Linked DNA regions of Cricetulus griseus. The protein of the gene in region 1 interacts with the protein of each later gene in a pairwise test. Links are inferred from orthologs where the notes say so. Each region holds a gene or a part of one and is shown in the gene's direction. Other genes may lie near its edges. The genes, in order: Napb, Stx16, Stx6, Stx4 and Stx5.

Region 1 (3,947 bases):
ACGAATCAGTTTTCCAAAATGAGAAGAATGCCCACAGGAGCGGTAAGTAAAACTGTGCACCAAGAACTGATATTCCCTTCTATCTTGAGAGCATCCTACAGTGGTTGGGCCCTGTCACACTGTGACATCAGTTTTGGTAATTGTTTCAAGGAGTTTGAACTGTCTTGCTTTGTTCTCTGAAGACAGGCTTTCATGAAGAGTTTTAAATCATCAGAAACTCTCATTTGGCAGTGATCCCATTTGCCTCACCACCTCTGTCTGCATCAGCACTGCCAAGCCTAGATGGTCTAGACATTGTATTAAAAAACAGCTCCCTCTGGGTCAGGCCTGGAAGACATTGGCACAGGACTGCATCTATCGATGGATATTTAGTAGATTAAAAATCTTCCTGGCAGACAGGAATTTTGTCAAGATCCACCCACTGTGGCCAGCATTATGTAAAGGATAAAGGAGTTCATTGGCTCATAGCCATTTAATAGAATTCGGTCAATAAAATGAGTGGATTATGCCTACATGGAAGATATGCAACTCATTTCTAAACAAGAGGACCAAAAGAAAGTTGCAGTCTGGGGACGCTTAAAAGCAACTCTGAATTTATATTGGGGAAGATGATGCATTTTTAACGTCTTGCTCTCAGAAATTAAAAATAACTCTTTAGGCCAGCTGTTGCTCCTTTTCTGGGAGAGCTGGGAGGTGGGGCACCACAGAGTTGACGAAATTGCACTGAACTGCATTAGATTACCTTTTGCAGTACCTTCATGTAGGCTGAGAGTTCCCGGCTTTTTTTTTTTTTTTTTTTTTTTAACAAGCCCTGGTCAACCGTTTATCCATTGCTACGTCTCAGTCATGGTCAATGATTTCTGACGCTGCGTGTTTTAGGTTATCTCCCTTGGAAGCTGCCGGTAATTTTCTGATTCTGCATTCCTTAAAACCTTGAAGTCCACCTTGGCCCAAGACCCCTCCAGAGGGCCACGCCCCTTCTCCCTCCTCCCGGAGCCCGGGGAACTCAGGGTCCTCAAGACAGGCTCCTGCCCGGCCCTGCCCAGCAGCTTTCTGGGAATTGTAGTTGTGGCCTCTGACACAGCTGCCACTATGGTGGAGTCTAGGACTACAGATCCCTACAGTCCCCACGCACCGCGCCTGCGTGCCCGCACCTGCTAGAGGGAGGGTTAAGTCGTCCCGGGAGCATTGCAAGTCGGTGGCGGAGGCTTTGGCGGCGGCTGGCGACATGGACAACGCAGGGAAGGAGCGAGAAGCGGTCCAGCTGATGGCGGAGGCCGAGAAACGAGTGAAGGCCTCCCACTCCTTCCTGCGAGGGTTGTTCGGGTGAGCGTCAGAGTTCTTGCCCTTAGGGGTCTTGGTGCCCAGTTCCCCGCCCAGCCAGCTGTCACCGTAGAGTGCCCCACACAACCTCTTAGGGTTCCTGGGTTCCCAACGGCCTTCAGAACATATCCAGGTGGCCCACGTACGGCCTTGAGTCCCGCAGCCCCTAGGGTCCATCGCATCCCCAGGGCATGTCTGAGGGACTCTAGTCTGCACACACTGCAAGCCCCAGAACCTTGGGATCCTCAGGCCTTGGGCACCCACACACATATGCCCGAAGAACCCGTAGCCCTCTACCCCCAGGCACCCTTTAACAGCTCAGAACGCCTACGCGCCCCCCGGAGATTTCTGTGTCCCCCCGGCACCCCTCGCGTCGCCCGTGGTCTCATGTGGGTGACAGGGTCCGCGCCGGGCTGTCCCTCCGGGTTCGTCACCTTCCTGGAGGACCGGTTTCGTTAATTTACCCTGGTCCGGGCCGTATATCACCTGGGGGAGCCAGGACAAGGAGGTCCTGGAATTCAGCTTGTCGCCTGGCATCTACTAGAGGCTCACTGGGAGCGCGAGGTCGGCGCCCCTATGTCTCCGGCCCATGGACCTTGCCAACATTTTCTCGGATGGTGTGTTTTTCCTTTGCTGGAGTGATTTGTATCCGTAGCCCGGGCCTTTTGTTTGATGGACCCTAAAATTCATTGCCTCTGTTTAAAGTCATTATCTTTTGGGAATCCCGTGATTTCGTATAATTCTTACATGCTGTAGTCGGGAAGGCTTTACATTCTGATCTTTCAAAAAGCAGAACCTGAACTGAGAGCTTGTGAAAGAATTCTGGGCTGTTGATTATGTGAATGATTCAGCTGTTTATGACAGCGGCAGAAATTACGCGTGTGCCTCAATTTTTTTTTTTTTTTCCTATTTGAAAGTGAAAGATCTTTACCAAGAGCAGATTTTAATTATCGGGCAGGACTAGTGGCACATACTCAACTGAGGCATTATGAGACGCTGTTTTATTTCTGTACAAATTCAATTTGTACACTTAGTTCTGAAAACACACCCAGTGAGCTTTGACTTGTTTTTTCTAACTTCGTTCATTTGACTGCTGATTATAATATTCATTATTATGTAACAGTTTATTTGAACCCCGTTATATTTCCATCTCCAGGAAATGCTTAGGGTCACTTTGATACAGTGCGTGGTCTGCCAGGATACAGAGGAGGAGGCTATCCTTGAGGACTTCTAAGGGCATTTATCACTACTGGGCCCTAAATTTCTCATATGATATGAGGCTTGAAACTGTAACATATACTCTGTTTCCGCTTTAAAAGGCACAAGGAGCATTGCTCGTATTTGGTGCCAAATGCTAATACCTGTCTGTGAGTCACAAAACATGAGATTCACTGTGTGAAATTTAATGGCAGAGTGCCTCACCATGGGAGGCGATTGATTTGAATGCACAACGAATTTCACGTCAGGATATGTTTCCTTGAGCCAGTTACGGACATTTCTTTTGGTCAAGAGGTGCGTTGTTTGGAGGAAAGTAGGTCAAATCTTGAGGCAGTCATCTAAAAGGATTTTGAGGAATCTATTTCTGAAGAAATGCATTTTTGACTGTTGCTGCCCTGTCAGTGACAGGCCGAGAGGGAAGACTTCATCTTCCATCATTCACACTCAGTTTGCATGGAGTTACTACAGCGTACTCAGGTAGAAGCAGCAGGTCAGTTATTATCATGGCTTCGGAACCTGGAAAAGGTTAACTTTGCTTCTTTGGGCCTCGGTTTCTTCTTCTGTAATCCACCGTGTATCTCATGATTAGTGATCGGTGAGTTTATATTTTTAAAATACCTAGGCCTGTGGCTGTTGGAATTGGCTGTCGGATGATTATCCACATATTCACCAAAGCTGTCAGCTCCTCTTTTCAAGGAAGGGGAAGGGCAGATGGATTGAGTTTTGTAGGATTTTGGAGCCAAAAACTTAGTCGATTGTCTTTTAATAAATAAATACCTTAAGAGTTTTAGCCAGGTCAAGTGTCCTTTGTACCATGAGAACTGGTAGGTTTAACATTTGGTCCTGGAAAGCTTAGGGGAAGAAGTATAGAGAGCTTCATGAAATTTATTATAAGTATGTAAGTATTTGAAACTCCAAACCAGACCTAGTTCTCTTTGTGTTATCATGGGAAGACTATGGTTTGGCATCAGTTTTAGATGTTTAGAGTCCTGTGGATGTGACATTACATGCATCTGTCATCACTTTACTTGTTGCCCTGCCCTGCCTCCCTCCGGTTTTATGTTTCGTTTATGGTAGTGTCATCTATCCCCATGTGAGACCCTCAGGCTAATGGAGAATTAATAATCACATGTTTTAATTCACCCATGTATCACCAGAGTTCCTATTTATGACATGGACAGGTGATGTTTTGAGGCTGTGGCAGACATTTAAAAAGGCATCTAGCTTATTGCAGATGTTTCACGTCACTGACTGTTAATCTCCCAGCTGCAGATTAAAGCCTAGCCTGAGTTCATCTTCTATATGCTGCACAATGCTTTTGTGGCAATACTGTGTTCTCAGTATTGTTCCATAACTCTCAACTTTCTGTTGTTGCTTTAGATGGAAATATGCATGGATAGTCACAA
Region 2 (4,290 bases), about 25 Mb from region 1:
ATCCGGGGCTCCAATGCCTGGCCTCGCCCGAACCCCAAGTGTGACCAAGGTGTTCCCAATGCAGCCAGCCCCAAAGCTGGGGTCAAGGCTGCACCCCAGGAATCCGCGCTGCAGATGCAGATCTGTCACCCGGGCTTGCCGGTGGGTCGCTCTGCTCCAGGGATGCGGCTGGAGCAGCCCTAGGGGGCCCCTCGGCGAGTCCCCCTAAGCCAAGACAGAGTAGCAGTGAGCCAGATGCATGGTTCCACGGACTGGCAGGCGACCCGAAGGCCCAGCTCGATGCAAGGCAGGCATAGCAGCAACACAAAGCTCTTTTGGGGGGAGTGAGAGTGAGGGAGGGTCTCCCAGTTAGCAGAAACCTCCCTGGCAAGCACAACGATGCAGTGTCCCCTACGGAGTGTGGCACCTAAGGGTGGGGGTCGACGTCCCCCTGACTGTCCTCAGCAAGGCGTGGAACTCAAGATTTTTTTTTTCCTCCCTGTTCCTTTTTCTCGCCTGGTTGTTTTTTGGATACTTTTCTTTTCTCTCTCTCTCTCTTTTTTTTTTTTTTTCAGCTTTAAAAAAAAAAGAAAAGAAAAAGGCACAGCCATCTCAGCAGCGCCAGCAGCCTGCAGTGGAGCGTGCCCGGCCTGCAGAGGCACTGTCTCCTGCCTTTTCCTCCGCCCCCGCGCAGGACTAGGCTCTGCTAGAGCCACACTCTTGTTTGCTTGGCAGTTCTACTAGAAGTTTACAGTTGTCTGGACCCCAGCAGTGATTTTCGGCTCCAGGGCCAAGTTTTTGAAGTTTTCTTTGGGCCAGGATGCCTGTCCCAGAGTCTGCACACACTTAGGAAGAGGGAAACAGGGCACCCCGGGAAATACCCCAGAGAGGGCGGGGCGCTCCCACCCCTGGGGCAGGGCAACAAGGGAGATCCCTCTCCCGGAACGTTACAAACAATCCTCATGAACATCGCAGGGGGGCACCCGCGAGGAACGGACAGGAAGAGGGCTGGGGAACGCTGAGCCCGGGACCACACGCGGAAGCGGCCCTGGGGCAGGGTTGCAGCCATATCCCGGGATGGAGGGTGCCGGCCAGGAGGAGTGAGGAGGCCGGGGTGCAGGCCGTGAGGTCCTGGTGGAGGGAGGCCTGCAGCCTGCGGGCCTCCGGGGAAGCAGGGGTCGGGTCGCCCTGAGCCCTGGGAGGCTCTGAGGACTCGGAGGGAGCTGCAGACGCTCGCTTGGAGTCCTGGGCTCAGGCCTGCTCGTGGCTGGAGCAGGCCTTTTGTGAGGAGAGTTGACCAAAATTCGGAGTTAGAGCCACATGCCAGACACGCAGGCGCTAAGCGAGTGTGTTTCGAGGCCCAGACGTCAGGGGCAGTCTCAGGAAGCGAGTGGGCAGGGGTCTTGTGCACGCTCCCTCCTGATTGGTGGGTTAGACGCTTGCAGATCCGCCGCTGGATTGGGGAGGGGTCTCCAGGACGTTCGGTTTCTATGCTAGGATTGGGGGGATTCTAGTGCTTAGAGATCCGAGCCAGGGCTGGGGTAGGGGGAGCCAGACAATTGGAAAGCCTAGGTGGTTATTTGGGGAGGGGTCTCTGCGCTTTGGCGGAGCGCAAAATTGCACCTTTTTTTTTTTTTTTTTTGTGGCCTGAGGCCTTGTCAAGAGAGGTTTCTAAGAAAGGGTGGACCAGCCAGGCTAGCGTGAGAGAAAGAAAATAAAAAAAAAGAAAGAAAAAAATCAAGACTATAAGGGGGTGGGGGACCCTGAGAGGGGGGGTCACAGAGGTGAGACATGGCCACCAGGCGTTTAACCGACGCTTTCTTGTTGTTGCGGAATAATTCCATCCAAAACCGGCAGCTGTTAGCCGAGCAAGTGAGTAGTCACACCACCTCCAGCCCTCTGCATTCACGTAGCATTGCTGCGGTGAGTCTCCCGGCGGCCTCTCCAGACACACACACCGTGTGCACTGCGGCTCTGCCTGTCTGTCTGTCTCTGTCTGTCTGTCTAAAAAGAGAGAGAGAAAAAAAAAAAAAAGGAAGAAAAAGAACAAAACGACGACGATTAGGAGTGATACTTAAGTGGAAGGGCTCCCTGGTCAGGGGTCATGGGGCACCTACGACCCCCAAAGGGGACCACAGTATCAAGCCCTGCTCTGCCTTACTCACTCACTCCATGGCCTCTCAGTCCTCAGTGTCACAGCACGACAGGCAGCTTCAGTTTACATGTGTTTTAACCACGAGGACTTGGAATCTAGGCCTTTCTCCAACCTTCTTTTTGTTTTGTTTTGTTTTGTTTGGAGTTCTCCCCCCCTACACACACCTCCTGCAATGGCTTCACTTTGGTTCTTTGGGTCAGGTGGTTGGTTAGCTGACTCAAACCCTTGCAAAGGGAACTCTCCCCCCACCCCCACCCAGGAGGGAGTTGTGTTGTGTGTGTGTGTGTGTGTATTAGGGGTGTGTTGTGGTGTGTGTGTGTGTGTGTGTATTGGGGGTGTGTTGTGGTGTGTGTGTGTGTGTGTGTGTGTGTGTGTGTGTTGTGGGAATGGGGGTGTTGTGGGGGTGGGGGTGGGGGTGTTGGGTGTGTGTGTTGGGGGTGTGGGTGTTGGGGGGTGTTGGGGGTGGGTGTTGGGGGTGTTTGGGGATGGGGATGTGTGTGTTGGGGGGGTGTTGGGGATGGGGTGTGTGTGTTGGGGGGTGTGTTGGGGATGGGGATGTGTGTGTTGGGGGGGTGTTGGGGATGGGGATGTGTGTGTTGGGATGTGTGTGTGTTGGGGTGTGTGTTGGGGGATGTGTGTGTTGGGGGTGTGTGTTGGGGATGGGGATGTGTGTGTTGGGGGATGTGTGTGTTGGGGGGTGTGTTGGGGATGGGATGTGTGTGTTGGGGGGTGTTGGGGATGGGGATGTGTGTGTTGGGGGTGTGTGTGTGTGGGGATGTGTGTGTTGGGGGGTGTGTTGGGGATGGGGATGTGTGTGTTGGGGGTGTGTGTTGGGGGGGTGTGTTGGGGATGGGGTGTGTGTTGGGGGGGTGTTGGGGATGGGGATGTGTGTGTTGGGGTGTGTGTGTGTGTTGGGGGGTGTGGGGATGGGGATTTGTGTGTTGGGGGTGTGTGTTGTGGGAATGGGGTGTTGTGGGGGTGTGTTGTGTGGGTGTGGTTGTGTATTGTGTGTGTGTGTGTGTGTTGTGGGGGGGTGTTGTGGAGGGGGTGTGTACTCATTTTCTCTTCTCACAATTTTTCTTCAAATGGCCCCAGTCCTCTGTGTAGCCACGCCCCCCCCAGGAATAATTGTGCTGCTGTTTTTCCTGGGCTCGTGCTGGTGAGACTGCAAGGTGCTCGGCCCTTCCATTTCCCACACAGGAAATTAAGCTTCCCCTCCATTCGAACTTTTTTAAAAACATGATGTGATGTGAAAATTAACCCCCCAAAATAGCACCCAGCTTTTGATTTTATTGACCGGAGCTTCACTTGCTCCAGCAGTAGTGGGGTTTGTTGTTGTTGTTCTTTTTCAAAGCAGTGTTCCAGAAAGATTGCTGTATTTGGTTTGTTTTTGATGCAGGCTTTGACTTCCTGAGCCTCAGTCTACCTCCCTGTCAAATAGAGGTTGGATGTGAATGGGCGTCAGATGAGTATTTATAATAACCTTAATTGAAAAGGGAGGTTTGAGTCGGAGCATAGGGGAATGCACAGTCACCCCAAGCCCTTAGGAAGTTGTATTTGAAATGCAATGTGTGAAACCCTGCGCCTTTCCCACCTTTTAGATGCTGGATTGCCTTTTAATTTTTTTCTTTTATCGTTTATCAAAGTGATAATGAAAAATTAAGCTCTGTGTCGTGATTGTCAATGTGTTGCCAAGACAATTGTCCCCTTTTTAAGTCACCATGAAAAAATTTTTAAGTCACCGTGGAAATTATGCTTGGCCATATTATTCACAGAAAAGGTATTTGAAGCCGTGTGCGCCGCGGGCGCCGTTTTGGGGGGGTTAGGTGTATGAACTTGGTCACAAGGCATAGGAAATTGCCCCCCAAGGGGGCAGGGGCTTTTGTTTACATTTATATTGAAGGGTTTTTACTTGTAAACTGAAAGACATAATATTACATAGAAATAAAAAAAAAAAATCTCAGCATGGAGATGGGTTCATTCTAACATGGCTTTTGAAAAGAAAGGGTCTCCAGAAATAAACAGAGACATAGTGAGTGGCAGCGGAATGAATACAGCTGGTGAGTCTTCCGTTATGTTAATAAGAGTCTCCTGTTCTTTATGTCTTAATTTTATGCAACCTCATGGAGAGGGGGAAAAATAGCCTAGCACTAAAC
Region 3 (3,511 bases), on another chromosome or scaffold:
CTCATAAAATATATTTTGTTCATATTGTTTGCTGAAAGATCGGAGAAGCAGAGCAGCCAGCCACTAGTCTTTACCTCTACCTCAGATTGAAAGGGCGATCCTGCCTCTAGGAATCCTCAGACTGAATGCTAGGAGTTCCTGTCTCCTCCTGCCTTATATTCCTCTGTCCACCCAGCCATATCCCTGCCTGTCTCTACCTTCCTAGTGCTGGGATTAAAGGCATGTGACTGCCAAGTACTGGGATTACAGGTGTGTGCCAACAGTGCCTAGCATCTGTGGCTAACTTGTATGGCTAAGTCTGTGCTCTGATCTCCAGACAAGCTTTGTTAGAGCACAAACAAAATATCATCACACCCCAACTTTCCTTAGCTTTCCCCCTCCTTACCTACTCCATTTCATATTCTTTTTTTTTTTTTTTCTTAAAAAAGCAAAACCAACAGCATGTAGTCCATTTTGTGTTGGTGAACTACTCCTGGGCATATGGGCAACTAGCCCACTTCCTCGTCTCCATGCTGGGATTTTGTCCTGTTTGAACCTGTGCTGGGCTTGTCCATGCTGTCATAGTTGCTGTAAGTTCATATGTGCATCAGCCCTGTTTGTCTAGAAAAATGCTATCTCCTTGGAGTCACCCACCATTTCTGGCTCTTACTATCTTTCCACCTCCTCTTCTCTAGATTCCTGAGCCTTGAGGGGAGGGGTGTGATGCAGACACCCCAGTTAGGACTGAGTGCTCCAAAGTCTTTGACTCTGTACATTGTTTAGTTGTGGGTCTCTGTTAATTACCATCTACTGAAAGAAGAAGCTTTTCTGATGAGGGTTCCCCTATGCACTGATTTTATGGTATTAGCTACACTTTTTAAAGATTCCATTACTCTCAGGGGTGCCACAAGCCAGGGCCCAAGGCTTTACTGCCAGACCTTCGGCAGACATCTAGACAAACATTAGTTTCTAGGCAGCTTTCCTTAATACACACACACACGCACGCACGCACGCACGCACGCACGCACGCACGCACGCACGCACGCACGCACACAGGTCCCCTGCTCCTATCAATTGACCCACACCACCGGCTCCTCCGGCACCTCCTGTGAGCCAGGCATCTGCTAAAGACTCTTAATAACTTACTGTCTTTTTACGGGACTCCAGGCTTCCTGATAATGGCATGGTTATGTTTGAATTTTGATGTAGCCAGGAGGTTGCCTGTGCCCCTAAGATGGCTACAATTTCAAGGCCAGTCAGGTCCACATAGTGTGAGCTCAGCACCAGCCTGGATTATGTAGTGAAACTTTGTCTCAAAACAAATAAATAAATTAAATTGATGTAGATATTTGAGTAATTTTTAACATGTTTCAAATTTAGTTTTGTTTTTTTGAGACAGGGCCTCTCTACATAGACCTGATTGTCCTAGAACTCACTTATATAGACCAGGCTGGCCCTGAACTCACAGAGATCCACCTGTCTCTTGCTTCCCAAGTGTAGGGACTAAATACATGGGCTACCATACCTGGCAGCATGTTTCAGATTAAATCTCTTCATTTAAAAATGCTGGTTATTGATTTCGGGTAGGGGTTTGTTTTGTTTATTTTGAGACAAGGTTTTCCATGCATGTAGCTCTGGATGACCTATGTAGCCCAGGTTGTCCTAAAACTCAAAACAGTCTTCCCGCCCTAGCTTTCTGAGTGCTGGGATTATAGACCCGAGCCATCATGCCTGGTTGTTGAAAGTATTTTAAGAAATTTTGTATAAAAGAAATTCCTCTGGGGGCTGGAGAGACTGCTCTGCCATTCCAAGCACTTGCTGTTCTTCAGAGAACTGAGATTTGAATTCAGCCTTTGATACCTGTAACCCCAGCTCCAGTGCCTTCATTTATGCACATAGCCACATGCAGACACACACTAACATAGAATTCTGATTGTTAAAATATAATTCTTAAAAAATATATAGCTACCACCTGGAACTTAAACTTGAATAAGTTCAGATTTGTTTGAGTTTCTTTTGGTGAGGTAGAATATTCCTTCAAGTCTGTTCTTGTTTGCTTGGGTTTGTTTATGTTGATTTTTTTGTTTGTTTGTTTTCATTGTTCTTATCTATCTCTCCTTTTCATGTTCTTTTTTTGGAACTATAGCTAGGAAAAGCTATTGGTCAGCTTGTCCCATCTACCTTGGACCCTTCAAAGAAGCTAGTGAAAGGCCAAGGTGGCCTTTACCTCATGGGCCTTTGGCAGACACTTAGCTAGACCTTAGCCAGCCTGCCCTAACGCTGCTCCCCACTGCTCCTTCTCATCTTCCCCTAGCTGCTCTCTTTTGGAGCAGAGGCCATCTGTGAGGCTTATCCTGGAGGTCTTGAAGACAGAGAGAGCCCTTCCTGGTGTTGCTCAAACCATTCCACCAGGCAGAAGCCTGCACTGCCACATCAAAGCCTGGTCCAGGTTTGAGGACCATTTAAGTGGCTCAGCAATAGCTTCTGAGTATTTGTCCTAACTGGTTGTCCCTACTCACACAGGCACTGCTAGGAGACAGCAGCAGCCAGAACTGGAATACTGGAGTGACGGATCGATATGGGCGCCTTGATCGAGAGCTGCAGCTAGCCAACTCCCATTTCATTGAGGAGCAGCAGGCACAGCAGCAGGTACCTGAGAACAACCAGTCAAGGACAGGAGGTAGCAGGCAGGGTGCCTCCCCTGACTCTTTGCTAGCCACAGGCTTATTACCTAATGACGAGTAGTAGGTTAGACCTGAGTGAGTCCTATGCTTGGTTGTCCAGCCGTAATGATTGTATGAACTGTTTAAAGTCTTGAGAGCATGGGACCCCAAAGAACTAGACTTGATCAGATCTCAGGAAATGCAGAGCTGACATCAAAACTGACAAGGCCAAGGGTTTGTGCAGGTTTTGTTTTAGTTGCTGTTTTGAGATGGGTTCTCACTGTATAGCTTCGATGGCAGGCTGGCCTCCATCACGGAGATTTGCTTGCTTCTGCCTTCCAGGTGCAGAGTTTAAAAATGTATGCTACTCCCAAATAAGGCCAAAGATTAAAAAAAAAACAATTCCTCTTCCCCTTTGTACATTCAGGTTTTTGTTTATTTTAATAAAGATACTTTCAGGAACATTGAGGTTTTGTTTTTTCCATCGAAAGTTGTTAATTGGAGATATATATATATATATATATATATATATATATATATATATATATGAAATCAGTTGCTTTGATGGAAGTTAGGTATAAAAAGAAAATGAACTTGTCTCCATGTTGTTACATCTATTATTTGTGTATTTATTTTTATTGTTTTATTGAGGCAGAATCATGCTGTGTAGTCCAGGCTGGCCTTGAACTCATGGTTGTTCTGCCTCAGCTTCATGTGTGTTGAGCTCTTAGGCCTGGATCACCATGCCAGTTTGTGTTCTTGCTTTTATAGATAGCAATTCTAGTAAAAGGAAGCTAACAATTAAATTATGTATCAGGATATGAGAATCACCTGTCCATTGAAATTTTGGTTCATAAATACCATTTTCA
Region 4 (4,244 bases), on another chromosome or scaffold:
TCCCCAGGGGCATGGACAAACTGAAGACTTCCATTTGGGGGCTGACAGCATCATGACACCTTGAAAGTCAGGCCCCACAGTAGGCACTTTTCTCCACATTATTTTCAGGGGACCACACTAGGCAGAGCTGGGCCTCCTGAGAAGCCCACCAACACCGCATCCCTCTGCGGGGTGGTCAGGGCCATATTATCCTCACCCCCTCATTTCCAAATCCAGGAGTTTCTAAAGGGAAAAGCATCACAGCCCCACAAGTGCATGGGGTTTTAGTCTGTTGGCTTCTGATGTGTCACCAGCCCCTAAAACATATCTGCTCTATAGTATGTGCCCAATAAATATGTCCAGAGAGACAAACCTGGGGAAATGGGACGGTGAGAGAAGCCACAGGCTTTAGTTTCAGATACATGAAAGGCTCCTATTCGGATCAAGGCTGTGAGGGCCTATTATGTAGCAAGCTCTGAATTTGGTGCTGGGGACTCCGTAAAAGAAAAGCAAGTCATGCTAGGACTTCAGGGCTGCGGAGGTAACAATACATTCCTCTCAGTCTGAGCTGCTCTGAAATCTGAAGGTGGCGAGCTCAGCGGGACTGCAGTGCTCACACAGGGCGTAGGCCGCCCACCTGTCAGAGGCTGTGCCAGGAGGACGCAGGGTGTGTAGGGGGAAGAGTTCCACCTTGGCTGAGGTCACTTCCCACCCCCAGATTGTCTGCCTACAAAACCCTGCAATCCTCTGACGCTGTAGCCTCCGATCTCATTATGTTCTGACTCTCAAGGTCTCGTGATACTGACAGCCCCCAAATTTAAGTCTTCAGATCGCCCACGCCCTAGGGCCCCAAATTAAAACAGAAAGTGAAGTCTACAAGGGTCTCCTCTGTAGGTGGCTGAGAGCTGTCGGTGTACCCCTCCCCACCTTCTGCAAGGGGTACAGCTCAGACTCAGGGGTATCGGGGACGTCGCGAGACTGAAGTCCGAGACGTCGCTGACAGCGCCGGGACACGTGACCGGCTGTCGGGCGTGCAGCCGGCGGAGCGGGGCCAGGTCTGTCACGTGATGAGGGGGCGCCATGGGGTGATGTGAGATACGAGGCTCTCAGACTGCGTGCAAATGACGCATCCCCAACCCTTTGGGCAACTAGATTCCAGTCCCAATATGAGATGTTCCGGTAGAAAGGGGGGGGGGGCGGACGGGCTCTCGATCCAGGCGGCCTCGCTTCCGTTCGGCCGCGACTGCTTCCGACCTCCGCCTTTTCCCCCTAGCGAGGAAGAGACAAGACCTCGTGCGCATGCTCCGAGTCATCCTCCCGAGGGGCGGGGCTGCGGCTGCGGGAGCAGGATGGGGGGAAGAGAAGGGAATTCCAACCTGTAGAACTTTGGGGGTCCTATGGTCGGGTTCTCCCCGGCGACTGTGCATGGTGAAAGGGGCGGGACCTCTGGGGGCTCGTGGGGGCGTTGGGGGTTCGCAGGGTGAGGAAGGGGGTGTCAAGTGAGAGAGAGCTCGTGCAGGACTTCCAAACTTAGAACCTTGAGGCCCTCGGGGCTCAGGTCCAGGGACCGGGCGCTCGGGCCGCCATGCGCGACAGGACCCATGAGCTGAGGCAGGTGAGGAGCTGGGGCCCGGCGGGCGCGCAGGACTGAGGACTCCTGGTTTGGGGTCCGGGAGGGGTGGCTGACGGCCAGGAAGGAAAATCCCGGAAGCCCATAGCTCCTGCGGGGCGAGAACCGCGGCGAGCGAGTGGTGCCAATGACTCCGGCCCTGGCAGGGGGACAACAGCTCGGACGACGAAGATGAGGCTCGAGTCGCGCTGGTGGTGCACCCAGGTACCGCCCGGCTGGGCAGCCCAGATGACGAGTTCTTCCAGAAGGTAAGGCCCGGAGGACCGAGCAGTAGGGAGGACTACAGTACCACTTATGTCTTCAGTTCCCTTGGTGATCCTCTCTAGGTCCAGGCAATTCGGCAAACTATGGCCAAACTGGAGAGTAAAGTCCGGGAGTTGGAGAAACAGCAGGTCACCATTCTGGCCACGCCCCTTCCCGAGGAGAGTAAGCGAAACCCGGGTTCACGTACGCCAGCCCGGTGGATTATGGGGGATGTAGTCCTATATAGATGTTGGCCGGGGGTGGGGTTGGTTTTGGTTTGTGGTGGAGGCTGTGGTTTGGAAGTGTTGGCCTTCTCTCATTTAGGCATGAAGCAGGGCCTGCAGAACCTGCGCGAGGAGATCAAACAGCTGGGGAGAGAGGTCCGGGCACAGCTAAAAGGTGAATGAACTTCAAGGGCCTCAGCCAGATCATCCCCAGTGATTCAGCCCTGATGCTCGTGTATCTGGGGAGTCAAGTGATATATCAGGTCACAGAGCAGGTCTGGGTCTAGGATCTCTGCCCTGTGGCATCTAAGCCTTGGTACTTTGCATATATTACATGCTGGCCTCTCAGATTCCTTTATTACTATTTTTACATCTAAATTCAAAACTACTTGCTGCTACAGTTCTTGAAGCCCAGTGTGTGTTCTTTGAGCAGATGGATGAGGGTTTCTTAGGAGGCTCCTTCACTCTTGTGGGAACCCACTGATGTAATACAAAGAAAAACTTCTCTTAGAAGATCAGAATTAGCCTCCTCCTCCCCCTCCCTCACCTCTTCCTCCTATGTAGACCAGGCTGGCCTCAAATTCACAGAGATCCATCTTTCCCTGCCTTTTGAATGCTGAGATTAAAGGCCTGCCGTAACCAGGTCCAGTTGGCTGATCTCACCCCCTTCTTCCTTCTTTCTTCTTCCTCCTAGTTCCTTCTTTTTTCCTCCTCCTCCCCCTTCCTCCTCCATCATGTGTCACTACTAAAATATATCCCTGCTCATAAGTCACTTTGTAAAAAAAAATCCTACGAAGACAAGAACTTCCTTATTATGTGGCTGGAATGTAGATGTGGCCCTGTATTCTGGTACCCAAACAATTTTTTTTGATTCATTTAAAATTTTTTATTATGTATTTTCAATTTTTTAATTATTTTTTGAGACTCAGTAGGTAGATCAGGCTAGCCCAGACAGAAATCAGTTAGCCTCCCAGCCAATTTTTAGAAGTCTCAGGGCAAGCTTTTCTTTCCATCAACCCTCGTATTTCTCCCACAGCCATAGAGCCTCAGAAGGAAGAAGCTGATGAGAATTATAACTCAGTCAACACAAGAATGAAAAAAACCCAGGTTGGTTTCATTTTCCTAGAACTAGGACATTTCATCAAGTGTTTCTTAGATTACTAACTGGTGACTGGGCAACCCTTACAGACCGTTGAATCTGGGATCTCTGTCCTGATGAATTTCCTTTATGCTTATTTGGTCTAGGTAGAGGATCCCAGTCACAAAATTCTCAATCCATTATAACACCATGCCACCGCCATTCAAAGAGAATTTGCTATGTCAGACATGACTCTGTCCTGGCTATGAGAGACATATTTTCCCAAAACTGAAATGGGGAATTTGGACTGAAAAGGGAACAAAGATATTTCTCATGTAGGACTTGGTCACTAATAGCTTTGTTCAGGGAAGAAGAGAGAGAAATAAAAAATGGTAATTAAGAGCACTGGTTGCTCTTCCAGAGGCCCCAGATTTAATTTCCAGCACCCACATGGCAGCTCACAACCATCTGTAACTCCAGTTCCAGGGGATCTAACACTCTCACATAGACATACATGTAGGTAAAACACCAATGCACATAAATCAAAGAATAATAATAAGAGCCAAGTGTGAAGGCAGAGGCAGGCGGATCTCTGAGTTCGAGGCCAGCCTGATCTACAGAGAAACCCTGTCTTGAATAACCAAAAATAAATAAATAAATGATAAATAAATGTAAGTTAAAATGACAAGCAAGGACATCCTTGGCCCCATAGATAGAATTTAAGAGATGGCGAGGGGCTGCAAGACGGATCAGTGGGTAAAGGTGTCTGCTTCTAAGCTTTATAACCCAATTCAGCCCCAGGTCCATGGGGTGCAGAGAACTGACTCCTGGGAGTTGTCCTCTGATTTCTACACATGTGCCATGGCACACATGCCCTGCCCCGTGCATACACAGTAAAGACATATATTAACGTATGATGTAGGGACTGGAGAGATGGCTTAGCACACACCACTTTTGCAGAGGAACTGAATTCAGCTGTTCCCAGCTGTGACCTATGTCAGGTGGCTCACAACCATCTGTAACTCCAGCTCTAGGAAGAGGCCCTCCACCTCCTTGGATACCACAGATGAAGGCACATAATAAAATATAT
Region 5 (3,984 bases), on another chromosome or scaffold:
GGACTCCAGAACACAACTGCACTGGTTTCTAGGTCAAAGTAGTGGTGTCCAGAGAAATTATTTTTCTGCCAATCTCTTTCCTTGTCCCTGATTCCTGAGTTTCTTTCTCACTCATCAGGATGAGCCCCAAGAACCTCAAGAGCCCAACATGGTACCCCCAGAAGACACAGAGACAGATGAACTTTGGGCATCTTTGGAGGCAAATGCCAAGCGGAAGCTCCCTGATTTAAATCAGATACAAGGGACTCTCCAAACAAGAAAAAAAAAGAAGCGGCCTGGATCCTCCAGTCCTTGAAGACTTTTGCTATTTTGTTAATAAACAGCCCAACACACACAGAGACCCTGAACCTTTTGTGATGGGAGAAAGGAGAGGTGGCTTGTGGGTGGGAGGGGTTCCCTCACCCGGGCTGTGGGAGACCTGACGTCACAAAAGCTGGGTCCAGAGCTAAGCAGGCTGGGGAGGGTGGCAGAGTCCTGCGCCTCTCGGGGCCATGGGCTGCTGTCAAGACAAGGACCATCAGACCTCTGATGAGCATGCAAGGGAGGAAGTGACCGACGAAGGTAGGCAAGGTAGGCCCAGATTCAAAAAAGGGTCAGGGAGCTGGATTGGGAATGGGAGTGGGAGGTGCCCAGAATGGACGGCCTAAAGAGACTGGACTAGAGAGGAGAACTGAACTAAGTGGCCTCGTGGCCCTTGCAGACAACGAAGTCAATTTGGACAACGCAGGCCGCCGCAAACAAAGATCTAACGAAAGTCTTCTGATCACCGTGCTGTGGCGCAGGCTATCCATGTTCAGCCGTCGGGGGTCCTCACGGTCAAGCAAGAGGCTCTCAGACCTGACTCAAAAGCAGGAGAGTCAGATCCAGGAGCGCAAACGTGAGGGAAGCCACAAGGAACCAGAAAAGGGCTGACTCCAATCCTGCTCTCGTCCTCCCCAACATCCAGAGAATAAAATTAATATTGTGGATCTGCCGAAAACATGCCTCTGCCTCCACATCTGTAGGCGCCGAGGCGCTGGCTCTTTAAGACTCCTCTGGCCCAGCCCTCTGGGATCTGTTTCTGCTCTTCAGGGGCGGGGCCACAGCGGCAGTTTAACCAATAGGAGAGCGGAGTCGAGCATGCAAGGGCAGAGGTGTGTTCTTCCTGTCTCTGGGCTTAAAAAAATAGGCGTGGCGCGGCATCACGTCACGGGGGTGGGGTTACGTGTGGGTGACGTGGCGGCTCCTGCTCTTTGCTCCGATTTGGGTGGCTTACAAGTCCAGCGAGGAGGCGGCGACGGCCTGGAGAGAGTGGCAGTGGCGGCGGCGGTAGGCAACAGAGGAGGTAGGGCTTCGTTGGGGTAGGGGGCCAGTTTCTGTCGGTCGTCTCAGCTCGGGGGCAGCGGCTTGACGGTGGGGGAGGGGGGAGAAGGGAGCCATGGGCAAGCCCTGCTGGCGGCTCCGCGTAAGCGAATACCTTGCTGTCCAATCAGGAAAGGCCTTGTTGAGAAAGACGCCGGCCCTGTCCAATCAGTGGCTGCAGTCTTCCAACAGGCGGAACTTTGATGGAGGTGGGACTTCCTGTTTCAAATAAACACTTAAAGAGGTTTTCCCCCCCTCCGCCCACCGAAGTGTGTCCACCTTTGGAGGTCGGTTGCCGTTTTTCCGTGAGGGAGTTAAGGAAGTCACGTATACCAGAGGGCACGATTAAGATCTGGGCCAACTGCAAAGGTCTGGCTGGAGGCTCAGGGCCGCAGGACCAGGCTTTGGCTGTTTTCTCGACTTTAGGGCCCCAGCCGGTGCTTTGGCCGTCAGAGCCAAGTTGGAAGGAGATTCTGAGGAGGCTTCGCCTTGGGCCTGGAGGAAGCTGACCCTTCTCGCCGTGGCCGGGCTGCAAGATCTACGGGTGGCCTTGGGCTCGAAAGCCTGTCAAATACGGGAAAGGGCCTGAGGATTTGCTAGTTGAGGGGAAAGCTTTGGGGAACGAGGCTGTCTGGAGAATGACATTCTCCTCTCCACAGCAGTCCGAGGTTATGCGACTCGATGATCCCGCGGAAACGCTACGGATCTAAGAACACAGATCAGGGTGTCTACCTGGGTCTCTCAAAGACACAGGTTCTGTCCCCTGCAACTGCTGTCAGTAGCAGCAGCGACATCACTCCTTTGCCCACCCCGGTGGCCCTGGTCCCTTCCCCTCCCGACACCATGTCCTGCCGGGATCGGACCCAGGAGTTCCTGTCTGCCTGTAAGTCGCTGCAGAGCCGTCAGGTAAGGACCTGGAGTGGAAAGGCAGGTGTGAGCCTAATTAATGCTTACGTTTTGTCTGCTAGTTGTCTAAATTTACTTTACAACAAAGATTAGCGAATCTTACCAATAGGAGTGGAGGAATTGTCTTCAGCAGGGATTAAGAAAAGATTAAATACCACGAACGATGAGTCAAGATTTAAACCTACATATAATTTTTTTTTCTTAGCTATAAACCACTGATAAATTTAGATTGTCTGATGCCAACAGCACTGGAGTGTTTAGTGGATATGTGAGGGAGCAGTGAAAAGCTGAGCATGAATAGTGAAGAGAACTAAAGTATCCACTTTTTGACATTACCTTTCAGAATGGAATCCAAACAAATAAACCAGCTCTACGGGCTGCCAGACAACGCAGTGAATTTACCCTTATGGCCAAGTGAGTTAAGAGAGTCTTTGGGGGGGGGTGGTAATACAATGTCTAGGAAGTTAATTTGCCTGTGTTGGTTAGGCTGAATGGGATTGGTTGTGTTGGAGCTTATGGGAATTAGCCTCTTTCCTGCCCTTTACCACAGCCTTCTCACTGATGATCATTTGCAGGCGCATTGGAAAAGATCTCAGCAATACATTTGCCAAGCTGGAGAAGCTAACAATCTGTGAGTGTTTGGTAGATCTTTCCTAGATGGGACAGTGAAACATAGTACTAGGAAGTGAGGATCGTGCAGTTTTTGTTTTATTTTCTCCTATGGTGCTGGGGATTTTAAACTAGGACTTTGTGCATTAAAGCAAGTGCCTCTACCACTGAACTGTATTCTTAGCCCTTTGAGCCTTGTTATTACCATCACCTGTTGTAACACTTCATCTGTCTCTGCAGTGGCAAAGCGCAAGTCCCTCTTTGATGATAAAGCAGTAGAAATTGAGGAGCTAACATACATCATCAAACAGGTGAGCTGCTAGCCATCAGGAGAGCCCAGCATTCTAATTAGATTACTTCCATCATTTTCCATCGCCATGAATCCCCAGGGTAAGTATCTAGACCCATGTCCAAACACCCTGCTCCTCCACTGAGTCCATAGACACTTAGGATCATCTAGCATTTGTAAAGTACTGTTCTGTATGCTGATGGAACAAATGAGAAGCAAGATTATTGTCTTTAAGGGTTCATTCTTCTTAAGAGTTACCCAGCATCAGGAGCCTAGGCTTAAAATGAGTAAGTGATAGTATAGAAAAGATTTTACAAAAAGATGAATGAAATAGTATGCTGGGAAAGATTGACAGAGGATATGAAATCTGAACTGGATTCGGAGGTTATATAGAGGAAATAGAAGGACTTACCAGTCTGAGGAGTTTATTTACAGAGGTGTTGATTAGAAAAGGGGGAAGGTCAGCTGAGAGTAGTGATGAACACCTTTAATCCCAGCACTCTGGAGGCAAAGGCAGGCAGATCTCTGAGTTCTAGGCCAGCCTGGTCCACAGAGTGAGCTCCAGGACAGCCAGAGTTGTAAGTTTATTCTCTATAATTACCTTACGTTTGTTTGATTTCATTCCCTGTATCCTTTCTACTTTTCTAAAAGAGAAGGAAAAAACAAAGGGGCAGGGCAAAAGATTTGCAGATACCTCAGGAGCAGGTTCTTTGTTTTGGTTTCAAGACTCTAGATATATAGCCCAGTCTGGTATTTTTGTTTAAGTCAGGGTTTCTCTGTATATCCCTGGCTGTTCTGGAACTTGCTGTATAGACTAGGTTAGTCTTGAACTTAGAGAT

Evidence for each region.
Region 2: the proteins of Napb (region 1) and Stx16 interact in binary tests that used the Homo sapiens proteins (3 or more experiments, as listed by UniProt). The two-hybrid records come from large-scale screens. The link is inferred for Cricetulus griseus from reciprocal best matches to the Homo sapiens genes NAPB and STX16.
Region 3: the proteins of Napb (region 1) and Stx6 interact in binary tests that used the Homo sapiens proteins (3 or more experiments, as listed by UniProt). The two-hybrid records come from large-scale screens. The link is inferred for Cricetulus griseus from reciprocal best matches to the Homo sapiens genes NAPB and STX6.
Region 4: the proteins of Napb (region 1) and Stx4 interact in binary tests that used the Homo sapiens proteins (3 or more experiments, as listed by UniProt). The two-hybrid records come from large-scale screens. The link is inferred for Cricetulus griseus from reciprocal best matches to the Homo sapiens genes NAPB and STX4.
Region 5: the proteins of Napb (region 1) and Stx5 interact in binary tests that used the Homo sapiens proteins (3 or more experiments, as listed by UniProt). The two-hybrid records come from large-scale screens. The link is inferred for Cricetulus griseus from reciprocal best matches to the Homo sapiens genes NAPB and STX5.

The regions. Positions count from the first base shown.
Region 1 is NC_048599.1:30,297,766-30,301,712, forward strand, and holds the start of Napb (beta-soluble NSF attachment protein), read left to right. Parts: upstream 1-1,144; 5' UTR 1,145-1,154; coding exon of another isoform or gene 1,155-1,228; coding exon 1,229-1,326; intron 1,327-3,947. Other genes in the region: Cstl1 (cystatin-like 1), read right to left, coding at 1,155-1,230. UniProt on the Homo sapiens protein: Required for vesicular transport between the endoplasmic reticulum and the Golgi apparatus.
Region 2 is NC_048599.1:5,006,090-5,010,379, reverse strand, and holds the start of Stx16 (syntaxin-16), read left to right. Parts: upstream 1-1,480; 5' UTR 1,481-1,770; coding exon 1,771-1,902; intron 1,903-3,533; exon of another isoform or gene 3,534-4,194; intron 4,195-4,290. UniProt on the Homo sapiens protein: SNARE involved in vesicular transport from the late endosomes to the trans-Golgi network.
Region 3 is NC_048598.1:36,564,152-36,567,662, reverse strand, and holds part of Stx6 (syntaxin-6), read left to right. Parts: intron 1-2,502; coding exon 2,503-2,628; intron 2,629-3,511. UniProt on the Homo sapiens protein: SNARE promoting movement of transport vesicles to target membranes. Targets endosomes to the trans-Golgi network, and may therefore function in retrograde trafficking.
Region 4 is NC_048596.1:72,932,660-72,936,903, reverse strand, and holds the start of Stx4 (syntaxin-4), read left to right. Parts: upstream 1-1,433; 5' UTR 1,434-1,564; coding exon 1,565-1,594; intron 1,595-1,755; coding exon 1,756-1,857; intron 1,858-1,913; exon of another isoform or gene 1,914-1,935; coding exon 1,936-2,035; intron 2,036-2,176; coding exon 2,177-2,251; intron 2,252-3,112; coding exon 3,113-3,183; intron 3,184-4,244. UniProt on the Homo sapiens protein: Plasma membrane t-SNARE that mediates docking of transport vesicles. Necessary for the translocation of SLC2A4 from intracellular vesicles to the plasma membrane.
Region 5 is NC_048596.1:51,355,573-51,359,556, reverse strand, and holds the start of Stx5 (syntaxin-5), read left to right. Parts: upstream 1-1,178; 5' UTR 1,179-1,324; intron 1,325-1,491; exon of another isoform or gene 1,492-2,000; 5' UTR 2,001-2,022; coding exon 2,023-2,247; intron 2,248-2,590; coding exon 2,591-2,661; intron 2,662-2,822; coding exon 2,823-2,878; intron 2,879-3,096; coding exon 3,097-3,167; intron 3,168-3,984. Other genes in the region: Wdr74 (WD repeat-containing protein 74), read left to right, coding at 119-295; testis-expressed protein 54-like, read left to right, coding at 492-570, 701-912. UniProt on the Homo sapiens protein: Mediates endoplasmic reticulum to Golgi transport.